Linked DNA regions of Alligator mississippiensis. The protein of the gene in region 2 purifies or fractionates together with the protein of the main gene of each other region. This does not show direct contact. Links are inferred from orthologs where the notes say so. Each region holds a gene or a part of one and is shown on either strand. Other genes may lie near its edges.

Region 1 (7,661 bases), on a different chromosome or scaffold from region 2:
ACTAGCCAGGCCCAGAGATAGGTAGGGGGATCCTGGATCCTGCACCCCAATGCTGCATCCTAGCAGGAGGAACCCCTGCCCACTCCCCTCTCAAGTCCTACATGTGTGGCTGGTTGCTGCCAGGCTGCGCTCCATGCCCAGCAGGGAGATTCCCACCCATGGGTATCAGGGAACAGGGCGAAACCCATGGGCTATTTTGTCAGGGAGTCACAAATGCAGGAAAAGGAACAACATGAGACAAACTATTTGCATGAAGGTCTATCGCTTCTCATCCATACCCCAGGGCTGTGTCACTTGGCTGCTGGTGGTAATATCCTTCAATGCAGCTAATCTCATTTTGTCTGTCTACAGTGAAACCAGTGACCTGGTTCCTTTATTTCTGCCTCCTCAGCATGTGCCCCTCACCCACGCTCCTGAGCAGGCAGCACCCAAGGGGAGAGCTTAAAGAACAGCAGCAAACCTCCTCCTTTCCTTTCTGGGTGTCAGAATCTGGGTTCTCCTGAAATGGGCGCTGTTGACCTAACTGCTCTATATCAAAAGCAAACCCAGAGAGGCTCTTACCAGTCCCACCTTCCATGAATGAAACGCTGGATAATCAGAAAGAATCCAATTGACTTTTCATCATTTTTCCTAGGAAGGTGGATTTTCCCCTTCATTCCTCTATACTGGGGGGCTAGAGGCCTGCACATGCATTGTCCTCATGTTGTCAGAACCACAGTGTCTAGGATATAAGCATGGAAAGGAGGAGAAGCTTTCACCAGTTAACCTGAAAACAATGCTTTTCATGGAACATCGTGCTTGGTCTTGTGTTTGCCCAGCTGGGAGTAGCTTGCTACTTGCACTGCATCACTGGAAAGGATCCAGCCTGCCTAATTCCACCTCACTTGATTCTTTGTCTTGATCAGTATCACCAGACAGATTTAAAAAAAAAAAAGGGGGGGGTTGGTTTTTTTACTTCCGAGAGCTGTAGGTGTTATCTTTTTAATTGTTTCCTAAGGCTTAAATCTTGTTAACTCAGAAGTTATCTGCACACTCTGGCTGGCACTCTTTGGAGCCGTGCTTTATGAGTAGTATTCCGGTAATGCTTCCATCACTACTACCCTACTTCAAGATCAGGGCCATGTTGTATTGGGTGCAGGACGGACGACCTCATGTAAGGTGAGCCCTGCCCCAAGGAGCCCACAGTCTAAACAGAAAGGAAGGAGGAGTATTCTTGGGCCACAGTGAAATGAAGTGACTTGCCTACAGTCACCTAGAGAGTCAGTGGCAGTGCTGAGACTTGAACTTTGGTCCCCTGAGTCCCAGAACAGTACATACCAACAAGGCCACCCTTCTGGCAATGCTTTTCCTTTAAGACTTCTTAATATTCTTCTCCTTTCTGGAGGTTCTTGATTGGCAGCAGTCAGCGCCAGCAGGAGGGACCTGCACTTCTGCCTCTACACGTGCCCAAGTCTCATCTCCTCTCTTACCACAGGGATATGGGAGCTGATGGCCCAGCAGGGGCCAGGAGGCAACTGCTGCGGCTCTGAGAGAGCTGGGTTCACTCCCTACCTTGAAGGGCCATAGTACATTGTGGGCTGAACACCTCCATGTGTCCTCACTGCCACCTATGTGACAGGGCTTAGGGAACACATCCAAATGGGCTGGACAATACTCAGCTGGGTTTAAATTCACAGCTGGAGGAGGGAGGAAATATACCTCTGCCCTCTCAGCCAGCCACCTCTGTGCTCTCGGCCATTGTTAATTTTCCCAAGGTCCTAAATAAAACCCATAAAGCAAGGAGCCAGAGCCAGTCAGAAAAAGGGAAAAAGTGTTTTGGGTTTTTTTAACTCTTAGGAAGCATCCAGTTGTAAATGCTGCCTTGGCTTCTGCAGGAATTGGAGCAGAGAGGTCTCACATGCCCATTCTCTTCTCTGAGCCGGGTGTCCCAGCCAGACTACATCTCCCACAGTCCCCTCTGCTTTTGGAAGGGGGTGGCAGGGTATCACCGGATATTTTGGCTGTAGTACATCATGGGAGGTAGGCATGAGGAAACCAAATGCTGGACCAGTCCCAAACCCTGCTTTGTTTGTTTTCAGATGTTTGGGATTTGAAGAGGAAAATCTCCATCTTCTAAGGGAAGCGGATGTTCTCCTTGAAGAGCCGCCTTTGGTTAAAAAGCCAGTTTTCTATTAACAAACCACCCTTTCTGATTAGACCCATGTCCCAGGTCTGCTTCTCTGGGACCTTGGTCAAGGTACAGACCTGAGGATAAGACAACAGTGCTTATTCTTGTAAGGATAATGTGCCACATGAGCATGTCTTAGCAAACATGTCCCCAAGGCCGGATTAATACATAGGCAAACTAGGCACATGCTTAGGGCCTTAAGTGAAGAAGTGGCCCGGTTGTGCTTATTTGACATGTTACTTTTTTCACTCAATAATTATAATATAAATATACAGTATTAAGTAGGGAGGGGACCACGAATTTGTTTGCCTAGGGCCCACTAAAGGGTTAATCCCTCCTGCAACCAGTTAGGCACGTGCTTAACTTCCAGCGATTAGGTAGTCCCATGGACATCGCACCAGTGAAGTTAAATATGTCAATATTGCCAACTCTGCAAGCCTTACAGTGTTGGGTGCTATACGTGGGAGCCCCTGGTCCCAGTCGTGATTCAGTAGGAGATTCCCTGCTTTCACTTTAACAAAAAGGTAAGTTTCTCGTCCTTGTGGGCTAGAAGAAAGCCTGCAAAGGCTTGGAAACCAGAAAGCAAATAAACCAGTTGTTTTTTAAATACCCATGGTTTTTGAGATGGCCTCAGGACTTTGTCTCAGCCCAGCTTGTGAATTTTGAAGCCTTGTGGCTGACGGTCCTGGAAGATGGAAGCGGCACCATTTTGGCAGAAAAATAGTAAGCAATAAGATGGCAATGTTCACTTTCCTCCATCATTTAATAGTGTTGGAGTGATGTAGTAGCCATGATTGTCCAGGAAATATGCGAGAGGCAAGGATTTTTGTGGGCGATATCTTTTATTGGACCAACTGTATAGTTGGGATAGACTTAGACAAGCTTACGAAAGATGTCCAGTAAAAAATATCATCCACAAAAATCCTTGTCCCTAAGCCAGTAGTTCTCAACCTTTTTAGACTCAGAGCCCTGAGGCACCCCTGACTAAGCACAAGGCACCCCTTGGAAAATGCCACCTCTTCATTTTTACTACAGAAAAATAACAGGGCAATTCTTCTGTTGCAAAGAACTCAGAAAGGCCATAACAGGGCAGAAAGATTTTTAACACTATGACTTCCTATTTGAAATCTCTGGGTTTTTCTTGTGAATCGTGTTTACATACCTGCTAGCGCTAACAGTATGTGGCACCCCCAGCACCCTTGAAAGGATCTCTCAGCACCCTAGTTGAGAATCACTGCTCTTAAGTAATGAAATATTTTCCATCCTTCTCATGGCTTGTGTGCTGTTTGCCTCTTGCCTGTGGAATTTGTCTGGGCAATGATAGGATCATTCTGGTTGGTTTCACTCCCATTTTTAAGCCTCTTGCAAGGGAGGGAGTGGGGCTTTTTATCCCAGCAGTGAATTTGACTTGATTTCCTTTCCAAATGGACAACACTAGCGGTAGCATATGTAGGGGTGGGCAGCGGGACAGCAGCCCCAGAAATTACTTGTTTTTGCCTCTAAACGCTGGTATGAATACTCAGAGTCCAAACAATAGGTGGACTCCTCTCTCCAGCTGTGCTCTATGCATTTAAAGACAAAGCTCGGGTATGCTTTGCCAATAGGAAGACCAGAACTGATTTTTCTTTCACATGGGGAGCTGATTGGCAGGGCCCTCATCCTTAGACTGGTAGTTCTGAGGCAGGCTCTGCCTTTTCGTTTCAGGTGCATACCAGGCCAGGAATGTGTTTCATCCCTGTGGACTAGAGCACTCCAGCGGGGTGCAGGACTTTGCTAGAGATGCAAAGACTTGAAGGTTAGGCAGGATCACTGCAATAATCTAATCTGACTTCCTGCATCGTGCAGACCAGCAAACCTCGCCCAGGAATTCCTGCGTCGGGCCTATACACTTATGGTTTGAGCTAGGCATCTCGGCTCAGCTCCCAGTCTATATTCAGGGAAGGGGGACACAGGGTGTACCAGGTCCCACGCTGCTCAGATGCAGACCTGCCCCCCATCCCAGTCCTCCACTGTCCTGGCAGCATGGCAGAGAGGAGATCACAGGTTGCAGCTTGGTAGGTTTTCATGTGGCTCCTCTTTCAAAAGCAATTGCCCCTGGGAGGACCTGCAGTTGTTACTGTGCCCTCCACATGCTGCACTTGTGTACCTGATGCACTCACGCAACCAGGTAAGTGGTGCCCACCAGGCCACACGTGACACATGCAGCCAGCTGTTGTGCTGGCACCGCCATCGTCAGAGGCTTTAAGCAACATTTTGGGGGGGGATGTGTGAGACTTCAAGCAACAGCGCGCGCGTGTGTGTGTGTGTGTGTGTGTGCGCGCGTGTGGCGGAGGAAAGGAACAGGAGAACCTGGCCTTGTGTGTGCAGGAGAGAAGGACGAACACATCAGCTGAGACCTCCAGAGGGCAGCGTTCAAGCTCTCTGTCCTCCCAAAAAGCTTCACTTCCAGGTTTTCAAGGCACTGTGACTTTAAGCTGCAGCCAGGGAGCGGGGGGGGGGTGTGTGGAAGAGTCTGCATGAGAAACACACAAGCCTGCAGCCAGCCAAGGAGGAAGAGTGTGAGTGCAGGAGCCTATCCTCAGCGCCTTGCTCTCTCCCCCTTTTCTTTTTTTAATGCCCCTACAGATTCCTTGGAACTTCTTATTTCCCCCCGCTTGCACTGACTCAAACACATCTTTTAATCTCCGGGCCCAGGCCCCCCCCTTCCTCTCCCCACCACACACACTCAGCCTTCACACTCTGCTTCCCCCGAGTTCACACCCGCACACACTCCACTGAAAAACAGAAGCAGTTGTCAGCAAGAACGAGGGGAAGACAGCCGGCCAAACCCCAGTCTCAGGGCACTGGAGATCCGCCTCCCTTGTGTGCACACACACACGCGCGCATACACACTCACACACACAGCCCTAGAGAGGAAGAGGCGGTGAACAGCAGAGGAGCTGGGGCTGATCAGAAATAAGGAAGACGGGAAAGAGCTCGCTTGCTGCTTTTCTCCACAGGCATCATGTGGATCTCTTGGTGAACGGGCTTGGGGGGAACGTACCCCCTTTTTCTTCCCTCCCCCTGCCCCAAGCCCTCCCTCCCCCTTCACAGCTGGCATCAAGGGGGCAGCGGGGGGCTGCCTCTGCCGCTGAAGCCTGGGGGAATAAAATACAGTAAATAAGCTTTTTTTTTCTAAATAAGAAAGAGAAGGGAAAAAATTTTTCTGGCAAGATGGCCGACCTGGAAGCTGTCTTAGCCGATGTGAGCTACTTGATGGCCATGGAGAAGAGCAAGTCCACTCCGGCAGCCAGAGCCAGCAAGAAGATTCTCCTACCTGAGCCCAGGTGAGCCCAGGCAGGTGTGGGGCAGCTGGATACCTAGGCCCAGCCACATCCCCTCCTCCCCCGGGAGGAGGTCAGTGTTCGGTGGGGTATTGCAAAGGACCCACCACCTTGCCCTCCAACTCCCCCTCCAAAATGCCCACCCCCAGGGCCTCCCTGGAGGCAGAGCTGCCAGCCCAGTGTGGGCAGAGGGGTCTGGGTGGCATTGCTTTAGGAGGGGAGCAGTGTGTGTGACTGGGCATGGCGGGGCAGTGGGGGTGGGGGGGAAGCTGGTGCTTTCTGTCATGTCGAAGCTGTTGCTTCCTGATTCTTCTCCCTCACGCCAAGCCCAGGTCCTTCTGTTTTCCTGCGTCCCTCTGTGTGCCTGCCTCCTTTATCCCCCACCCAGGGAGAGGGGAGAGAGGGTGGTGATTATACCCCCTCCACTTCTTTCAAACCCACCCCTCAGACCCCAAATCTAGGTTCCCCTCCCCTTCATGTCTGTCAGCGTGCAGCAACCGGGGCTGTGCTCTCCTTGCCGAAGCAGCCCTAGCATCCAGGACTAGTGAACCCGGGCACCTTGTAACAGTCAGGGATGTTCGTTAGAGATTGTCAAGCATGCACCTGCGGGCAGGCACAGGGGACGCTGTCTTGACCTAGGGGTACACAGACCCTGGCATGTTCTCACACCTTCTGATCCCCCACCCTTCGCAGGGTCTGGACTCAGCCCCTGCCTGGCCCAGCCTTGCCGTGCTGTGCATCCATCAAGCACATGGTCAAGGGTCCATGTAGTGCAGCCCAGGGCAGGAGATGTAGCACCCATGGCACTTTCTTCCTCCCAGAGGACTTCAATGGGACCACCAGGCTGCTGTGGTCATGGCCCAGCCAGGAAAATGCAGCTGGTTCTGGGGTGTGAGGGATCTGGCAGGGAGGAGAGAAAAGGCCTTGAACCAAGGGCTCTAGGGCTGCCTGCCCCCCGCCCCTCATCTGTCTCCCCTACACATACCTCCTGTGCTAGCCATGCTGGACAGATTGGGGCTAGAGCTGTGCAGAGTGTGTCTGAGATGGGCTTATGCCTAGTGCGTGCAGGTGGGTGGGACGAAGGGATGGATAAGGAGCTGGAGGCCTGGATTGGTGGTTGCGGGGGTGAGTAAGAATTTGGAGGGAGGGGGCCAAGTCATCCAGATTCAGTGCTCTTGTCTCCAGGGAGTTTAGCTAGACTAGACCCCGCTACCCCCCGAGCAAGACCCACCCCTCAGCTTTATGGAGACAGTTTACATTCAGGTCCTGCCAGTCTCTGCCCTTCCCCAGTATCCCTGTTAAAAAGCATCTCTGCCCCACGCTGCCCCTGACAGCCACAGGCATTGCCAGGCCCTGGGAGAGGGGATCTCAGAGCTCAGGCCCCTTGTTGGCCCCAGGTCCCAAGTGCCCCCTGGGCCCATAGCACGATGGTGTTGAAGGAAGCCCAGGCCCCACCACATGGGCACGCTAGGTTAGTGATGACTTGTGGGAGACAGCAGGAAGCCAGCACCAGGCCAGGGGGTGCTGAGAGGTCACACCACCCTGGGTGATTTTGGTATGAGTGTAGTCCATCCAAATGCATGTGCGATACCCTCTGCCCACACTGCCGGTGGGGATAGACCCCAGGCTCCACAGAGGGAGATGGCAGCCTTGCTGCCTCCAGCTGCCCCCTGGTCAGCACAGCAGGGAGGCTGGCCTGGGGAGTTTTCCCTCAGATCTTTCCCTACTGGAAGTAATCACTTGTTTGGAGTGCCCCCACCTCACAATCCCACTGTCTCGGTACTCAGGCTGGGTGTGTTGACCCCCCCATGTCCCAGAACAGGATGTCTCCTAGGTCCAGGTCTGCCGAACCCCTGCCCTGAGTTGTCTCTTCCCCCCGTAGATTCACACACCTGATCCTTCCACACTGCTCCCTCCCCCCATCATTGCAGGATCAGGGTCGGCTTTGCCAGCCCTGATGGGGGCGTTGCACAGGGGGCGTCTAGGCTTAGGGGACAGAGGGCACTGGGGCAGGGTGCAGTGGAGCTCGGCCTTTGCAGGTGGGGAAGTGGTTTGGCCTTTACATGGCTGTGGGCACTGGGCTGAAGGCACAGTGAAGGTTAGGGCTGCATGGAGGGAGAAGTGGGGGCTTAGCTGGTGTGTGAGGATGGGGGCCCTAAACCAAGATGTGG
Region 2 (7,117 bases):
CTTTATGTCCTCTATTTTTCTCTTCTGAGGACATAAAGGTGTCCAGTTTTATACCAAGAGGACAACTGGACTGTCCTCTATGATGGCGACCCGAGCCCCCAGGTCCCAGCCTCACAGTGTGTCCCCAAGCAGCCCCTTTGCAGGCTGCAACTCTGCCAGCCTTCCAGGGAAAAAGCCACGGTTTCCCACTTTTTTTTAAAGAAGAACCTATTTTTGATGCATTTTTCAAGTGTGTTTGCAACCCTTTCATATATTGTTGCGACCCGCTTTTGGGTCTTGACCCACAGGTTGAGAAACGCTGCTCTAGCCAACACTTGTGGCCTGGGTGACAGGCTGGCCACAAATTGCTGCCTTGACCTTCATGGGGGGCCGGGGGGGAGGGGGGAGTAGTGAGCTCCAGAAGATCCCAGCAAGGATCTCTTCTGGATCCCCTGAGGTGCCCTAAGGAGGGCAGAGGAAAGAGAAAGGGCTCCCAAGAGCAGGGACCAAGTCTTACCTTCCACCCAGAGCTCCTCCACGTTGGTCTCGAGATTAGCTGCCCTTAATCCTACAGCGAAAGCCCCAAAGATGAGGAGGCCGACAACCAAAAACTTGCCGCAGTTTTTTTGAATGTAACAGCCCAGTTTGAATAATAGTCTTTGAAACTTCGCTCTTAGCCACAGCGGTGCTTTTCTTCCAGTCGCCTTCCCCTGCAAGGCAAGAAAAGGGCAGCCATTGAGAGCCTGGGACAGACAGATAGACACCCACACGCACAGCGTGGGCATGCTTTTTTCCTCCTTCTTAGCAGCCTCCAAGCATCATCACATCTTCACGCAGGAGTGCCAGGAGCCTCAGAGCATCCATGAGCGGGGACATGAAGAGGACAACCTGAACCCTGGACAAGACACCTTGGACTGCAGCCCATGTCTCTGTGGAGCAGCCCTCCAGGCACCGGACACAGTGGTGTGGACTAAGACGTGCATGTAGACGGCTGAGTCTCCTATTCATAAATCAATACCCAGGTTTTGGGTGACATCACTGCAGGAGATCCGGATAAATGAGACAGCCTCTGCCTGCCCTCCCATCCAGCCCATCCCAGCCTTGCTGCAAGCAAGTCACTGCCATCAGTTCAGCAATACAAATCAGTGCAGCTCTGTAATCAAAAATTCATTCATGCTGGCAAGATTGCCAGCACAGGGGAAGCAAGAATCAAAGCAGATGAATCTCAACATGCCAAGAAAAAAAAAATCAAATCAAATCCCCCTTTCCTGTTCTTGTTACATCGGTAAAGGGGGTGGGGGGAAAGCTGCATTGTACCAATTTGCTGCCGATTCCCCCCTCCCCAGCTCCCGGCCCCGACTGTGTGTGTAGTAAATGACCGACCCACGTGGTGAGCAATGCTGCGTGATCATAAGCTTAATAGTCATTCATTTCCATAGAGTTTGGAGACGCTGTGTGATCGGAATGGTGAAGCAGAGCAGCCATCTGTAAGTTACGACAATATTTGTGAACGGAAGAGGGCAGCCACATGGATTTTTTTTTTTTTTTTTGCCTTTCCACTTCTTGCAAAGCCTTCCCCCCCAAAATAAAATTAAAGAAATCTGCTGCCTGAAATGAACCGATCTCCGAAGAAAGGCGATGCCTCCTCGCTGGGGTTTGCTAGGAACCTTTTTGCCTTGCAAAAGGGAGCGATCGGGACTATTTGGGGACGAGGGGGTTGTTGTTTCAGAGTCAGTCCCTGCGTTTGGAGCCTTTCGATATTAACAATAAAAGCGAGGATCCGGGATCATAGAAAGGGGGGAGAAAGGGGATGGGGGGACCTGACCTGCAAGGCAGATTTAAGGTGGCAATTTGTTTACAACTTTCACTTCTCCTCCAAGCGCCGGGGGTTTCAACAGGACAAAACTTCCTCTCCTCCAAGCCTGCTCCCTTCCGAGAGCCGCGATGCCCCCGCGGACTGGAAAACGTGACCGAAGGAAACCCCCGTCTTTTCTTTGCCCCCCCCCCGGAAAAAAAACCCTCGATCTTTTCCCGATCCCCATTTCCCGTCGGAAGCCGGGGCTGCCAGGCAGCGGCACAGCGCTCCGCAGGGATGGGGAGCAGCCGGGCACCCGAACCGAGAAGAGGGCGACCCACAAAAGAGGAGGGCAGGCGGCAGAGGGTCCCGGGCAGCGTTGCACGAGAGCAGCCGGGGAGCACCCCACCCCCCCGGGGGCAAGGAGGACGGCGAGGAGGGCAGGCTCTTCCGCACGGACTCACAGACGTCCCCCTCTTTCTCCCAGCATTTTATTGGTGGCTCTTTCATTCCCATCTCCTCCTTCCATGCAAAAAAAAAAAAAAAAAAATAGACACCCCCCTTTAAAAAAAAAAAAAAGATCGCTGGAAAGACACGCACACACAGACACCCAGAGGCGCGCGCACACGCACGCACAGCCAGAGGCTCATGCACCTTTGAGATCTGCTCCAAGGCGAAAGCTGCATCGCAGTAGCTCGGCCGCTGCAGACAGTCCAGCTCGGGCGCCGCAGCGCGTCTGGTCCCCCCGGTCCTCCTCCGCCTTCTGCTGCCGCTCCCCTCCGGCCCCTCGGGGTCCCTACAGCCACCGCCAGCCCCGCCGCCGCTGCTCTCCGGCTCCGAAATGTTACCAGCCGAGGCCATGTTGCCGCCGCCGGGACGGGGCTGCTGCTGCGGCGGCTGTTGTTGTTTGGGCGACCCGCGGGCTGGCTCGCCTGGGCTTCCCCGCGGCGCGCGGCGGCCGCGCTGGGGCGATGCGGGGGCACCGGGGGCTGGCTGAGCTGGCGGCGCTTCTCTCCGGCTGCTGCTGCTGCTGCTGACAAGCCACCTCTTCACACCGCGCGGGCTGCGGCGGCGGCGGCGGCTCCCGGCGAGGCAGACCCTGCGCCTTCCATTGCAACATTTCGCGAGGATCCGGGGGGCTCCGCTTCCCGCATCCAGCGTGTGTGCGAGCGGGGCGCGGGTGAGTGCGGCGGCTTCCCCCCCGGCCCGGGATCTGGGGGTTTAATCCTCCCGCTTCCACTTGGCTTCTCGCAGCTGCAAAGAAACCGGGCTCCCCCCCTCTCCTGCCCCTTTCCCCTCCCTCCCTCCCTCCCTCCCTCCCCGCCGCCTCGGTCTTGCTCCGTGGAAAAGCAAAGCCAAGCCGGGCTGGGGCTCCTCCGTGCTCCCCGTGGAGGTGCTGCCGCTGCCGCCGCTGCCTCTGGCCGCGCGGTCCCAGTCTGGCTCAGGGCAGAGCTGTCTCTGAGTCCCAGGGCGGGCGGCTCCGCGGTGCCCCTCTCCCTCTGGACGTGTGTGTGTGTCTCTCTCTCCCTCCGTGTGTGTGCAGCAGCAAGCAGCAGCTCCTTGATTCAATAGATGAGATGAAGAAGAAAAAAAGAACTCTCTCCATTTGGATAAAGAGGAGGAGGGGTGAAGGGGGGGGAGAGGAGAGAGAGGGGAAAGAAGGAGAAAAAAAAAAAAGCCCTCAAATCCCGCCCCTGGGGCTGTCAGATGGCTGGGCTTTCTGGGACGCGATTGGCTCAGGGAGGGCAGAAATTACTCAGCAAACATGACTATTATTAGCTGCTTAGCAACAGCTCACCAAAGTAGAGAGACCACCCAGGCAGGCAACCCTTGTGTGTGCATCTCCAGCTTCAGGGGGAGCCTTAAAGAGATCCAGCCTTCTTTGCATGCAATACTTCCATTAAGGAATGCCTCTCCCCCCGCACCCCCTCCCCACCTTTTCTTCTTCATTTTCTTTTCAACAACGGTTTCTTCTTTTTCTTTTTTTTTCTTTTTTTTTTTACGAGATGCTTTTAGACAAACACGCGCGCAAGCCTTTACTGCACATCCACCTTCAAAAATATATTTTGCTTTTTTTTTAAAAAAAAAGAAGAAAAAGAAACCCACGGAACGATTTCTAAAGCCTTTAAAAGAAAATCCTTTTAGAGGCACCTTGGCCTCAAGCTGCAACAAATACTGGGAGGTCCGAGCTGAATTCCCAGGCTTGCACAAATAATGACAGGGTGGTGGATACTGCGAGGGAAAGTGCCAATTTTTTTTTTTCCTCTCTCTCTCTCTCTCCCTCCCTCCCTCTCTCTTTTCTCCTTTTAACTAAAGAGGAGACAGATCCTTGCAAGAAAGGACCAGTGAGGGTGGGGGCAAATAATAATTAATAATAATAATGATGATGATGGTAATGATGATAACAACACACCATGGAAATTTAACACCCAGAAGAAGGGATGTAAAGCCGGGCAAGGAGCCCGCGCGGTTTAACTGAGCGTGGGGGTCCCGAGCCTCACTCTGCAGCAAAGTCCGCTTAATACCTCGCCCCCCCCCCCCCCGCCACAATTTTTTTTCAATGTCAAGTTCAGTCCCCAGAGGCTTTTCACGCTCCGCGTGAATCGCCAGCTTGTTTCGGGGCTATTTTTATTTGTTGGCACCCCAAAAATCAATGAGTTGCTTTTAAATAGATACTTAAAAATCAATGCATTGATTTTGGGGAGGGGGGAAGGAGATGCCCGTGTAGGGAGATGCTCCCCATCGGAAACGCTTTTAGGGGTGCAAGGGGGGGCTGTGCCTCTGTACAGGTTGCAGGAGGCGCTGTCACCCCGGAGGTGGCTTTTGCACCGCATTGCCCCCCCCATCTGCATGCATTTCAGGGACTCCCCCTCGTGCTTCTGCACCCCACCCCCCAGCCTGTACCACTGGGATGAGGGGGGCAGGTCCCACTCGGGGCCGTGTCCCTTTAAGGGGCGCGCGGTGTGTGTTCATTGAAAAAAAAAAAGAACGCGCGGGGGGCGGGGCCCAGCGGCGTCACGTGACACACGGGCGCCTGGGCCGGACTCCTCAAGTGCGCGGCGGGTTCGGCCGGGCCCTGAGGGTTCGGATTCTGAAAGGGGGGTGGAGATGGTACGACCCGAACCCGCGCTAGGCGCCCACACGGTGCCCGGGAGGGGCAGCTGCTCGGTTGGCCTCTGGCGGCCGGGAGACGTGCCAGACGAGCCGCAGTACATTCCAGGGGGCGGGCGCTGCGGCTCGCGCCCGCCAATGGTGCTCCGGGCTGGGCGCTCCGGGCCAATGGCGAGGCGGGGGGAGCCGTCCCCATTCAGTCTGCACAGCTGTGGTGGCGGGGTCGGGTCGGGCCGAGTGGGGGGGTAGAACCTGCTCCAGGGAGCGGGCTGGGCGCGCGGCTCCCGCGCCGCGGGGCCTCTGCGGAGTCGCGCGCTCTGCAGGGGGCGGATGCATGCAGCAACCGGGCGTGCAGGGGGCTTGCATGCGGGTCCCAGCACGGCGGGTGGGGGGGCAATGATCTCCCCTCTGCTTCCTGGTGCTCCCTGTACCACCCTGTCCCCCCTGCGCGGGGGCCGAGGCGCCAGCCCGCGGGCTCTGCCTCCTGCCTGGCAGCTTCGCCTCGGTAGGCCTTCCCGCCCTGTCCCGGCGCCTATAAATCCTGCCGGTTGGTGCCCCCAGTGTAATCGGGAGGCTCAGATTTAACAAGCGGTGTCTTAATCTCTCCCTCTCCCCCTGTGGTCTGTTTTTTTTTCATACCCCAGAGATGAATTACTGCGAGGATCTAATTGGCCTTGTTTCTGCCGCGCTTTAAAAAAAAATGGAGGAGGAGGAGGAAGAAGTGTCAGAGTAAAAGTCTGTCTCGACTTGGGTGGTCAGGAGCGGTGGCTGCCCCCAATTTGCCTCATTGCTGATGCATGCGAGTGCTGCATTCCCAGCGATAATGTTGTTCCTAATCAATCTGCCCTTATTTACATTTGTAAGCATTGTTGGCTTTAATATGCATGCCCTGCGCATGTCACCGCGGCTCCGCACCCGGGGCTCTCCCCCTCTCCTTTCTTTACCCTAAACTTCAAGGATCCCACAGATCGGAGTGGTGATAACACGCCCGGCTCCTCGCCTGCAGGAGGCCTTCCGAGGTGGCACCTCCCGCCGGCACTGCTCTGCCTTCCCCCGGCCCGGCTCGCTCCCCCCGGGTGGGCAGGGCCCGCCCAGTTGGCCCCTCCGGGTGCCTGGCACCAAGGACCCGCCTTCCTATATGCCCCCCTGGCATCCCGGAGCAGGAGCCTTGCAAGGGACATCGAGAGGTCACATCTAGTCCAACCCCCTGCTCGGAGCAGGACCATCCCCAGCTGGATCATCCCCAGCCAAGGCTTTGTCCGCCCGGCACAGATGCCCGGCAGAGGAGTTCAGCCCCGAGGGGTAGGGGCTGGGAGGTTGCTGATGGCTTCACGGCGACTCTTGCAGCGTGTTAGGGGGCTTCCCCCCCACCCCCCATCACTGCTCTGCCTGTAGCATCCGGTTACATGAATAAAGGAAGGACATTGAAAGAAAACACCTGCCCTCCAGATTGTTTGTTTGCCCGGCAGGAACAAAACTGACCTGGAGGGCGCTCACTCGCCTGTCATTTTTGTGCCCGGGGGTGGTTTTGCCCCCCACACCCGCCCCGATCTCCTTTTGGCATCCAGCTGTGCCGCCCAATAAGGCCTGTGGGGGGGAGGGGGGATGTCCTGCCCCGCTGTTGCAGCCCTTTGAATGCAATCGCCAAATAAACCCTGTTCTTGCTCCCCACCCCCCGCCCGGTCCTCCTCCCGGCAGAGCATCTCGCCCGTGTGTCTGGGCAGGTGCTGCGGGGGGCTCAGGGCTGGGGAGAGGGAGCCCGGCTCGGCTCTTGCCCTCGCTCTCGCCCTCGCCCTCCCTCCTCGGGACTAACAGGCGAGGGAGGCTGCTCGAGCCAACTTGTCAAAATAATGCGGCTAATTACCCCTGATCGCCTTTAATGGAGAACTGCTCCGCGCGCCACAAAGAAGCAAATGAGCGATCTCCAGCATCAGCCAGGCAGCGCAGGGCGTTGCAGCCGCCCCCGCTCCGGGCAGCCTCCTCCGGCTCTGCAGCCGCCGGGGGATCCGAGCGGGAGCAGCCCTTGTCATCCTCTCGCACACCCCAGCATCGCCTGCAAACCGGATCCTTTCCCTGGCAGCCTGCCCTCAGCCCCGCAGTGTGCACCGAGGGGGGACAGTCCCCCTGGAGAGCTTTTTAGCCCTTCTGGACCGCACCCGGGCTCTGTAACCATACACCTCGGCTCTCGCGTTTGGCAGGAGGCGCAGACCATTCATTTTCCTGATCTCTGCC

The links. The genes of interacting proteins can lie anywhere in the genome.
Region 1: the proteins of PTCH1 (region 2) and GRK2 purify together in Homo sapiens (affinity purification with western blotting; 3 studies listed by BioGRID and IntAct, with this or other methods). This does not show direct contact. The link is inferred for Alligator mississippiensis from reciprocal best matches to the Homo sapiens genes PTCH1 and GRK2.

Annotation. Positions count from the first base shown.
Region 1 is NC_081825.1:176,049,161-176,056,821, forward strand, and holds the start of GRK2 (beta-adrenergic receptor kinase 1), read left to right. Parts: upstream 1-4,658; 5' UTR 4,659-5,380; coding exon 5,381-5,493; intron 5,494-7,661. UniProt on the Homo sapiens protein: Specifically phosphorylates the agonist-occupied form of the beta-adrenergic and closely related receptors, probably inducing a desensitization of them. Key regulator of LPAR1 signaling.
Region 2 is NC_081826.1:206,077,348-206,084,464, forward strand, and holds the start of PTCH1 (protein patched homolog 1), read right to left. Parts: upstream 3,008-7,117; 5' UTR 2,636-3,007; coding exon 2,429-2,635; intron 690-2,428; coding exon 497-689; intron 1-496.